Schizosaccharomyces pombe: one gene and its partner. The protein of the gene in region 2 interacts with the protein of the main gene of each other region in a biochemical or structural test. Each region holds a gene or a part of one and is shown on either strand. Other genes may lie near its edges. The genes, in order: pkl1 and alp4.

The links.
Region 1: the proteins of alp4 (region 2) and pkl1 interact in a test that uses a peptide from one of them, tested with the Schizosaccharomyces pombe proteins (one study listed by BioGRID).

Annotation. Positions count from the first base shown.
Region 1 is NC_003424.3:3,437,213-3,442,907, reverse strand, and holds pkl1 (kinesin-14 family minus-end directed microtubule motor Pkl1), read right to left. Parts: upstream 4,019-5,695; 5' UTR 3,976-4,018; coding exon 3,964-3,975; intron 3,926-3,963; exon of another isoform or gene 3,922-3,925; coding exon 3,288-3,921; intron 3,235-3,287; coding exon 1,547-3,234; intron 1,422-1,546; coding exon 1,257-1,421; 3' UTR 1,222-1,256; coding exon of another isoform or gene 1,113-1,221; 3' UTR 985-1,112; coding exon of another isoform or gene 860-984; 3' UTR 791-859; downstream 1-790. Other genes in the region: pfd6 (prefoldin subunit 6), read left to right, coding at 621-660, 711-781, 860-984, 1,113-1,221; U5 snRNP-associated protein Aar2, read left to right, coding at 4,847-5,695.
Region 2 is NC_003423.3:2,521,935-2,527,724, reverse strand, and holds alp4 (gamma tubulin complex GCP2 subunit Alp4), read right to left. Parts: upstream 3,665-5,790; coding exon 1,310-3,664; 3' UTR 591-1,309; downstream 1-590. Other genes in the region: UDP-glucose 4-epimerase Uge1, read left to right, coding at 4,800-4,802, 4,870-4,932, 5,101-5,790. UniProt on the Schizosaccharomyces pombe protein: Component of the gamma tubule complex that is required for the regulation of both interphase microtubules and mitotic bipolar spindles.

The DNA of each region.
Region 1 (5,695 bases), on a different chromosome or scaffold from region 2:
TTTTATACATTTATCCTTTTTTTCCCACTAGATTGTCTTTCCCAAATTTTCAAGCTAAAGAAGATCTAAGCTTACAAACTACTATGGTATTTCTATTTATTTTTAAAGAACAATGATATCTGAAGCTTTATCTCCATTCAAAATATTTCCTTTATATCTTTGAATATTAATAAGACATTTTTGTATTCATTAAAACGGTTTCATTATTTACGAATTGTTAATTCCAGAAGGATGCAGTTGAGAAGTGAACTAAAACAATATTTTTCATATCCTTTATTCAAAAAAAAGGTTTGCAATTCACTAATTTATATACTGAACCAAGTAGTTTTGTTGTATCAAAACAGTGAGTCTTTACTCAAAATTTCAGCAACACCTTCATTCACTCATTCATAAATCGATTTCCTAGTGTAGCTTACATTTCTCTGTTTAAATTAATTCGGTTTTATTTATTTCTCGTTTTTATCCAATATAGTCATAAAATCAATCATATCACACAATTAAAATATATTTTGTTCATAATATAGAATTTCAACGAACTTCGCTATTTCAGCTGACTTTCAAGGTAAGTAGAATGTCTCTTTACCTACTATCCTTTTACGTCTTTTTACACAGGAATAGAAATGGAGGAATTAGCTAAAAAATATCAGAACCTACAAACAGGTAAATCAAAACCTTCTGCATCGAATTAAATAATTAACGAAATTCCCAAGAACTAAGCACTTATGTCGAAAGTTTAAAAAAGTTGGAAACCCAATTACAAGAAAACACTACTGTCCTCAATGTACGTTAAGGCCACAAAAATTACTATTTTCCCTATTTTCTCCATTTATATTAGAATTGTTTTGTTAATGCGAATTAGGAATTGGAAAAAGTGGCTCCTGACTCAAATATATATAAGCAAATCGGTCCTACCCTTGTAAAGCAAAGTCATGAGGAAGCAAAGACCAACGTTAAAACAAGATTGGATTTCATTAATAAAGAAATGTATGTTTGTTGAAATTTGAAAAAGAAGAATTTCCTTGAGGTTAAAATCGCTCTCTAAAAATGCGAGTTGTACTTCTTCATTTGTATTATCGAATTGCGTATGTCATTTTATTAATTCATAATTATAGTGCACGCCTCGAAAATCAAACAAAAATCTCACAAGAAGAATTCAGCAAAGTTAAAGGTGCCATCATTCAAGCACAAGCAGCAGCTGCTCCACCAAACCCAGCATCTTAAATGCTTTGGTAAACATTTTTTACTCTAAAATAAGCTTAACGTTTATAATGTTTAATAGAACCTACTTTTGTATCATTGACTTTTGTTGCAAATCGCAGACTATTTAATGTATCCATGAATTGCGACTTTAAAGGAGACACATTAACAAACATCAGGGTTTTGGCACCTTTTCCAAGTGAATATTTTAACAAATAAGTTAGCTAATGTCTGGTTAGTACAAAAATGCTTTCAATATAGACTTTACACACTGCTGCAAAGCAAATAAGTAGCCACTTTGACAGTTAAAGAACGTGTTTCGTAAAGAACTTTTCATTCTAATACTCACCTTTGAATTTCGGTATGGTATGTGAGACTTTTCCTTCGTGGTACTATTTGAGGCATTTCCAAGTGCATGGATAACATCGCCAAGACAGCTGAGACTTTTATTAATAGCTTGCGTTTCTCGTAGTCTATCCCCAACTGCCTGACTGTAACTTAACCGCTCAGAACCTGCCAAATCAACTAGATTTAGCGTACCTTTACATATTTGTTTGGTTCTAGAATTTTCACCATCTATATACAGCATGAAAACAGTGTGTGATCTTGAAGACCGTTCATTTGCTTTTGTCGCTGCTATAAATCGATTTTCTCCTGCTCGATTTAGCATCTTGTAAACAGTATCTTCTTCATTAAAATCAATTATTGAAACGTTATCCACTGTTGTTCGTCTTTCCTTTTCATCATGATGAATATCGTGCTTAGGATTTTTCAACATTTCCGCTTTGTTTAATAGATCATAAATCGTTTCATTGTAAATTTCCAAAAACTGACCTCTCAATTTATACACCCACCCTTTCTCCCTCAAGGTTGATAGATAATTAAATATATGCTTAATTGACATCGCTATCATACCGTCTTGTGACGACATTGTGTACGTCTTACCCGATCCTGTTTGTCCATATGCAAATATACTAACATTATAACCATCAATAGCGCTTTGAATTAACTGTGATATTTCCTCAAAAACGGACGAGTTATCGCTTTCAGGAGCAAAGACTCGATCAAAGGAAAATTCATAATTACGATCATAAGTATGCCCGAGTGATGATTCAACATTAGGCCCTTTAAGAATAAGTTTTTGTGGCTCTAGTGCGTCTTTATCTGGAAATTGTAAAACATCAGCAATGCAATATTCGGATTCTTCACTTGGGAGTAGTGGTCTAACCCTACAAAAAACTCGAATATTTCCCTTTAGTTCTTGAATGTCGTTATGCAGCTTTCGTCTGATTATTTCTTCTGCTAACAGTTTATTATACATATCTTCATTTCTCCGTTCCAGCTGTTGGATTCGAGCTTGTAGTTCCAATGCGTTCTGGCCATTATTTCTTTCTTTATCTTGAATACTTGCAACATATTTAGAAAGTTCTTCAAGTTTTTCAGATGTAGAGTGGTGTTTATGCTCTTCCTTTAACAGTTTATTTCGAAGCATGTCAATTTCAGCTAACTTGTCTTCTAATTCTATACGCAGAGAGGAGATTTTTTCTTCATATTCTTTTTCCGAGTATGATTTTTCCGATTCATATTCTTTTACTGCCATTTCCAACTCAGATATTCTCCTTTTAAGCTTTTTAACCGTTAAATCATTCTCATATTCAATGTGGGATATTCGATCATTTTCTTCTTGTTGTTTCATTTCTAATAAGTCCAGAATTTTTTCTTTAAAACGCAAAATTTTCTCAGTACAAGAACCTTGTATCAGCACTAGAGCTCTCCGAAGTGATTCACAAATATTGGCATATTCATGTTTATATGACTTTACTTCGTTCTCAACAAAATCCCCAAAGGATTTTCGTTCACCATTTAGATTACAAACTAGAGAATGTGTTTTCTTTTCATGATAAAGTGCAAGTTCTTTGTGTTCTCGACGTAGCTTTTGGTAGCTTGCATTCGCAGCTTCTAACCTTTCCTTGGCTTCCTTCAACTGGATATTCGATATCGATAATTCAGAGGAAAGATTTTCTTTTGTTTCTAAAACTTTAAAATAGTTAGTAATCAAATAAAGTCAGCATAAAGACATGTATTCTTACTATCTTGCTTGGCCTTTTCTGCTGCCTCTCTGTATGATTGAAGTTGTAACGAATATTCATGATCCTTTTCAGCGTAAACCTGTTCTTGTACCTGAAGATGTGATCTAAGGTTCAAGTATGCAGACTCAATATCATCGGTTTCGTCTTTCGATAATAAACGATGTTCGCCATTAGATAGCATATGCAACCTTTCTAACTGTATAATATTTTTTGGTTTGCTTTTTAAATCTTTTATTCTCTTTAATGTATTAGAAGAAGCCATAGCTTGATCACTCTCGTAGGCTAACGTTGATTCGCATATTGTTTTATGAGATTCAATGAGATCTTTTAATTGAGGCAGCCAACTCTCTTTAAATTTGGAAACAGATTCTTCGTAATTAGATTCATGAGTAGAAGCAATTGGCGCTGTGACTACAGCGGCCTTGTCTCGATTGCTGTCCCTCTTCTTGCCATTAATGTCGCTTTGTAAAACGTGATTTTTTGATACGAAATTTTCGTATTTCAAATCATGTACTGCATCCTCTTGATTTGTTTTAATAATTTTTTTTGGTCGATATATTAAGTCCTCAGAATCTGTGTTTAAAGCATCTTCCTGTCGTTTATACCCTGTGTTTATGGAAATGTCCTTTGTATTCTTTCGCATTAATAAGATAAGTTACTCAGAAGTACCTCTTACCTCAATTACCATCTATAAGTTAAAAAGAGCGTTTTATAGAGTAATTCTTCCCAATACTATAAACACGAATTTATCAGCTCGACAAAACAGATTTTGATTAGCAGATGCTTTAAGAAACGTAAAACTATTTTACGTGGGTTAAATATGAGTGTTAAATTGTTAAGCAAATTCCAATGCTACGCATCATTATATGTCTCAAGCCTCTCGTGTATATCCATCTATGTTATTAATCAATGGTGTATAGAATACAATTGATTCCATTAACAAATAGTACTTAAGTAATATTATTTATATTATGTAATTCCACATTCCCTGATTGATTTTTGGAATATCTCAAACAAATTCAGTGTATCCTTACGTGTCTTTAAGTGAATTACAAAGTCCGCGGAAATGTGTAACACTACCTAAAATTTCGGTGAGCTTATATTACGATTTGCCATGTAGCGGTAGGTTGTACGTTTAACTAACAATTGTTACTTTTATTACTTTAAAGAAGTCTAATAGTGTCCAGTCAGCGATCTAGCTAACGACTAAACTAAAGGAGCGAGGTTCAGTTGTAGCTTTATTTAAAATGTCTCGATTAATTTATATCAATTGGAATATATTTAGATAGATGGAATTTTATCCGTAACTATGAATAAATAGATCTTAACTACTATTCTAGCAGGCGATATTTAGTGATACGAAACGATGTATATTATAGCGTAGTGTAGAATTGCTGACACCCAAAAACCTTTAATGTATTATGGTGTTTTTTATAATATCCATCGCTATAACTCTTAAATCAGTAGCCTGAAACTTAGCTTTGACCAATGTCTACGATCTTAAATTCAACTTAATAGACAAAATAAATGAAGATATGGAATAATTTGTTTTGTATATAATGAGTATAGAGTTTGTCGGATGGTTAAATACATATTACGTTGGCATTGATCAGAGTTCATATGAAGCTAGTAAGCTTCCAGGTATTCGAAATGTAAAAGGTGGAATTCATCTTTTCACTTGGTCTCCAACATACCCTGCTGGATTAATTTCTGGAGTTTTTGCTATGGTCCATGAAGATATGAAATATAGTATCGACTTTGATTCGAAATCTGAAACAGCTTCTTTGCAGAAGCTTGATGTATTATATGACGAAAACTTTTATCCCTTTGAATCAACAAAGGATTGGGACTTGTTGACGAAGTTCATTACAGTTCAAGATCTTCAAAGAATTTTTGCTACTGAAGGTGAATTTTTCTACTTAGACACTTCAACGTATGTCAACGCTGATCTTGTGTCACAAGATCCGGAATTCTCAAAACCCTCTCGAGACGATAAACTATTAAATTTCGCTGAATTCAATTTACGACGAAGCTGGTCGCCGTCTGCCACTGGACCTGAACGGTCTAAGCAAGCAATTGATAAATCGTTTTTGTTTCAAAGACTCGTCCAAAGCGTGTGGAATGACAATCCCATCTCTGCATTAGCGGAATTATCAATTTCCTTTCTGAGCTACTCTATTCTCTCCCACTATGGTGCTTTGGAGCATTGGAAGAATATGTTGAGTTTGCTATTGCAGTCTTATGAATTGGCGGAAACTGAACCAGAGTTTTACGCTTCCTTTTTGGAGCTTTTCAAACTTCAGCTTAGCTCACTAAGTGAATCCGACTTAGAAACGTCTGCCATTTTTGAGAAAGGCGTTTTACTATCTTGCCTTGATAGTCTAAGTGAAAGGAAAGTGGATGGTAGC
Region 2 (5,790 bases):
TCATTCGGTTCGAAATGCTCTTTTATATTCCGTTCCTTGTTATCTTCCCCTTTATTTCATCTTAACTTACTTATCGTGTCCATTTGTAATCTGTAAAGTATATTTGCTAGTTTCTAATTATTTCTTTCTCCCTCTCTCTGTTTCTCTTGTTTCCTCTTACATGGTGGGGGATTGATAATTTTGGGCAATCCACTGTGAGATAAGTTTTCGTTTTTCTTACTCCTTGATGCGATAATTCTAAAGTCATATGATTCCTTTGCCTCACACCCAGCTATCGCCCCCATACTTAATCATACAATCTGTACTCACTTTTCATAGTAACTCTATCCTTTCGTAATAACCATCCTACACTAATCTAAATTGACGTTTTCCTTCGATATTACAATTTTTGTATGCGCTTTACTAGCTTACCTGTTCCTTTGTTTACGCATCCATTAAACTTTTAACTGCAAAATACAATTACTAGAAATTCATTACGAGTGCACACAAATGAATAGTTTTGCGTATACAATACTATAACCACCTAAATTAAACCTTGGTTTGGTTTTTATATACATACATCATCATCATTACTGTCGTAGCAACTGTACTTCTTCACATAACAAAGTTCATTACTATAGCTGTCTATGGTACAAACGTTAGCATACATTGTATCACTTCAAAATCAATCGATAGCTCTTTAGACTAGGAACAAATGCTTAGCCTCTCTCTTCGTTCTTCCTCAATCACGCGGCATACTGCCGACTTGCCTTAAATTTAGCGACATAGCTAATAAAAAATTAGCGATCAAAAATCCAAGTTACCATTCCTCAGGCATTATCAGCAAACCCTGTTTCAGACATTTTAAAAAATCGATTATTTTTTATATAACACAAGTGTTGGCATATTAAACGCTCGCCATGCCTTTCTCCATAATCATTCTTAAATTCATGGCCAATGGCAGTCGTCTTTTTGTCAATTTTTAACCGAATAGTGCAGTACGCTTTTAGTGTGACAACTGGCCAAAAAAAAGTCCAAACTACTGAAAATGGACCAATGTATACTGCGGATAAGCAATGCTTGTTTATGAAGATAATTGGCCATTCCGCAAGATCCTCACTCCAAGTCATTTCTTTATTAACGAGTACAAGCAACAAGATGTCAAAGATAAGGTTATCCAAAAACCGACTATATAAATATCCATAAAAGTTTTTCTCCCAATTTCCATTGCTGTTTGTCAGATGTTTCTTCATATCTCAATAAAACAATAGTAACGTTGTTCCATTTGTAGTTTTTCTACCTTGCCTTGTTTTATCTTGTCTCTTCTTAGTTATCCCGTCAATTTCATTACTAAACTTAAAAGAGCCGCCGTCTCAGTACTTGCAAAGTAGTTACAAGCATTCACTAAGGATTTTAAATGACGACTAAAACTGTCTTCGTACCGGCGTAAAATTTCTTCCATCTTATCCATTCTTCCTTCATCAAAGCTTTCTTCGGAATTCTCAAGCAAATATAAGGATCGGGTAAACGTGGAAGTATAAGAGGCAAACATAGCACAAGTATTAAGTAATTTAGATTGTACTTTAAGTAATCGCGAGTTAGTAAGCATGCATTCTTTTAGACACGTATCCAAAAAATCGATATGCTCCTGCATTAAATTATCCACAGTTCGGGCGTTCTCAAGTTCTCCCATAAATTTCCCCCAATGTGTTTCAATCACCTCACTTGTAGTATAGTAGATTATTTTTTGAACAAAACTAAGCATTCGTGTCCTTAATAACCAGCTGTTCCTTTTCCATTGTTCGATTTTCGCATTGGAGGAATTGAGACGCCAAGCACTATTCTTGCTGTGCTGCACCCAACTATTCTCAAGTTGCATTTCAACGTGACGAAGTAAAAGAAAATATCTGAACAAAAGTTGATATCGAATAATAGCTTTGCGGGATAAAATAAGTGAAAGGGGAAATGGAACTTTATAGCATAGTTGCATCGTTTCAAATCCATTAATATCTTTATCGCTACCAACTTTTGAAGTCCCCTGTGTGCTCCGATTGTGTTCACTCTCAAAATTTCGAGTTTCATTGCCCACATCCGCTTGCTTCGTGATTGATTCATTCCAAACTTCGTTTCCCTGAGATGATGTTCCTTCTTCCAAACCACTGATACTTACAATATGCATGAGCCAGTCTATTAATGATGTTTGATTCACTTCTACAGTCACGTATTCTTTATGTGGATCAGTCGCAGTTATCGTACCAGGCTGACGAAGGGCTAAATCTAATTGCGACTGCAACTTCGTGATAGATATATACTTTGCAGGTTTTCGTAGCTCGTGTTGAGCATTGTCAAGAAATGTTGTAAAAAAGTCAGATTGATCAAGGAAAAAATAATGTTTGAGCGAGTACAGATGAGCGTAAAGAGACTGTGAAGACTGGAGTAATTGCAAGAGAGATTCATTTGCATAAACATAGGCATTCATGATATTTAAAGTAAAGTTATCATCATCGAAGGTTGAAGGCCAGAGCAACTGGTTTTGAGTATCGTCTTTTGCATTTAACGAAGCCAGGTTATTAACTCCCTTCCTACACTCTAAAACGACGTTCAAATACTTGCCTGCAAAGAGTACCTTGTTTTGTAAATCAAGCAATTGTGGAGGAACTTGATCCTCTCGAATCACGTATCGTTTTTCCCAATATTCATCTGTGTAGTCTTCATCAAGTTGCATAGATGTGATTCCTTTGTGTATTTTTATCATAAATTCATCATATGGGTCATTTACGAGCCCGAGATGGATCCACTCATTCAACATTTTTGTATAAGGGCGTGAAGCTTCGCGCAATAAATAGGTTAGGATTTTTCGTGCCACAGGATCACCCGCATATTTCGTAAGACTTTCGGTCAAAAAAGAAATGACTTGCCCACCTTTACAAACCTTTTTCTTAGACCTAGTGGCATTAACAACATGTGAAATGTCATTTCCTTCATTAAGTTGCTCTAAAAGATCGTCGATGTTACTAAGACCTAAATCATCGCTGCTGGAAGCATTCTTTTCCATAGACAAAAGCAGGTCACGTAGAATTAAATACACTTGTCGTAATGAACGCGATGTGGGAAGAGTATAAAGGCGAAGAGTTTGAAGAGAAAAATTTGGATCAATTCGGCTCTGATTTTCACACTGCATGATAAGTACCACGTAGTCCATCACAAACTTTCGCAAAGCAGCGCACAATGCGTGGTTAACAAATCCGTATTCAAAATGGCTTCTCGATTCTATAAAAGCTGTGATACTTAAATAATGAGACCCCATCTCTAACATCTCAGAAGCAATATCCTTTATACCTAAATCAAATCCAGGAAGAATATAAAACGATGGCGGCATAATAATGGTTTCAAACTCAGAGGATGCTTTCATGTCTTGGAGATGTACAAATACACCCTCCATGCCCATAAATGCATTTAAGAGTTCGTTTATGAGACATGCTTCCTGCTGATGGATATTTAAGTTCGAAGGATCGCTAAAAGTCTTCCCATCGTAAAGATAATTTAATTGAATCCTATCAGAAAATGGAGAAACACCTTCACTCTTCAAAGAGACATGATAAACGCTCCCTTCCTCGAGAGCTGGAATTGGACTCCCATTCTCGCTTTCTTCTTTAGCAAGCACCGAACTAATCGATCTCACCATTTAAAGAGTCTTTTTTTATATAATCTACAAAAGTGTGAACATTTATTTAATATTTAGTGCTCTTTGTAATTATTATTCGGATATGCTTGTTTACCAGCAGGCCAGTTTTAAGATGTAGGTTGGTAAGTATGCGCCAGCTAACAATCAACGCAATTTCAAAGCAAACCAACTCAGGTCCGTGTAGCATTAAAAAATGCAAAAAAGTATAAAAAAAATTAGTCAAAAAATACATAACTAGAAGACTGCAGCATTTTCTATTGTAAGACTACCGTAAACTCAAAGGACCCCAAATACTCATTCGAGTATATATGGATAGCAGTAGACAGTGACAAATTCTATATGCTAGAGTTTATTTTGAATGGATAAAAATTTTAGATCCTAAGCTTGAGGGATTTATTCCCTTCATCTTTTTTTTTTTTTTTTTTTTTTTTTTTTTGTTGTGTTTAAATTTTTTATTCTAATGCAGACTACTTCGCTTTATTTACTAGCCAGTAGGTAATATTTGCATAATAAAAGCAATAAATTTAGCTCGGTTTTATGTTAATTATACATTTACTTGTTATTTCTTTAACAAAATAAATTTTTTCAAAAATACATATAAGCATCAATGATTTATTTACAGATAAAATGCTTTTCTAGGGAAGCAAGGATTTTGTAGTCGCATGAAGCTGGTGGTGAAATCACAAACATTACATCTATCAAAGTGTATATTGGTTGTAAAATCTCGAGTTCATCTTTTAAAAAAATAAATACAAAAAAAAAATTTATTGGTAAATGCACATACATTAAATTACTACCTCAATGCTTTATGAACATGAAAAATCCATACACCTAATCACAGGCATTCATCTGCTATACACTTATTCCGACGACCTCTTTGTTACTATATAATATTATGATTAGGAATTTTTTAGCGATATATCAATAAAATGGTTTAGCGAGATATACAAGCACTTTTCACTTTTAGCTTAAGCTTCATTGTGGCTTTTGCTCGTTTTACATCATGTCAGGTTACAGGAGGTAACGACCTGCATTGATACCTTGAGCATGTAGGAAACTGAATATCCAACAAAGAAAGAGCATAATAGCTACAGTCTTGAGCCCACCCCTTTAATATCAAATTATAACGTGTAAAATGGTATGAATAACTTTTTTAATTAATCAAAAGCATTCTTTTGTATGAAAATACTAATTATGATTCATAGACTGGTGTTCATGAAGGGACTGTGTTGGTTACTGGCGGCGCTGGTTATATAGGTTCTCATACGGTACGTAGAGAGCTTGAAGATACAGAAGAGGATTAGTAATGTACATGTAAATGTTTTAAGCACGCATCTTTTGTGAATATAGCTTGCTGCTCTTTACTTTTATACAATTTCGTCCATATTCTATAAAGCTCTTTTTTGAGATATTTTGCTAACCACAATCTGCAATAGTGCGTTGTTTTGTTAGAAAAAGGATATGATGTTGTAATTGTCGATAATTTATGCAATTCTCGCGTTGAAGCCGTGCACCGCATTGAAAAACTCACTGGGAAAAAAGTCATATTCCACCAGGTGGATTTGCTTGATGAGCCAGCTTTGGACAAGGTCTTCGCAAATCAAAACATATCTGCTGTCATTCATTTTGCTGGTCTCAAAGCAGTTGGTGAATCTGTACAGGTTCCTTTGAGTTATTACAAAAATAACATTTCCGGTACCATTAATTTAATAGAGTGCATGAAGAAGTATAATGTACGTGACTTCGTCTTTTCTTCATCTGCTACCGTGTATGGCGATCCTACTAGACCTGGTGGTACCATTCCTATTCCAGAGTCATGCCCTCGTGAAGGTACAAGCCCATATGGTCGCACAAAGCTTTTCATTGAAAATATCATTGAGGATGAGACCAAGGTGAACAAATCGCTTAATGCAGCTTTATTACGCTATTTTAATCCCGGAGGTGCTCATCCCTCTGGTGAACTCGGTGAAGATCCTCTTGGCATCCCTAATAACTTGCTTCCTTATATCGCGCAAGTTGCTGTAGGAAGATTGGATCATTTGAATGTATTTGGCGACGATTATCCCACATCTGACGGTACTCCAATTCGTGACTACATTCACGTATGCGATTTGGCAGAGGCTCAT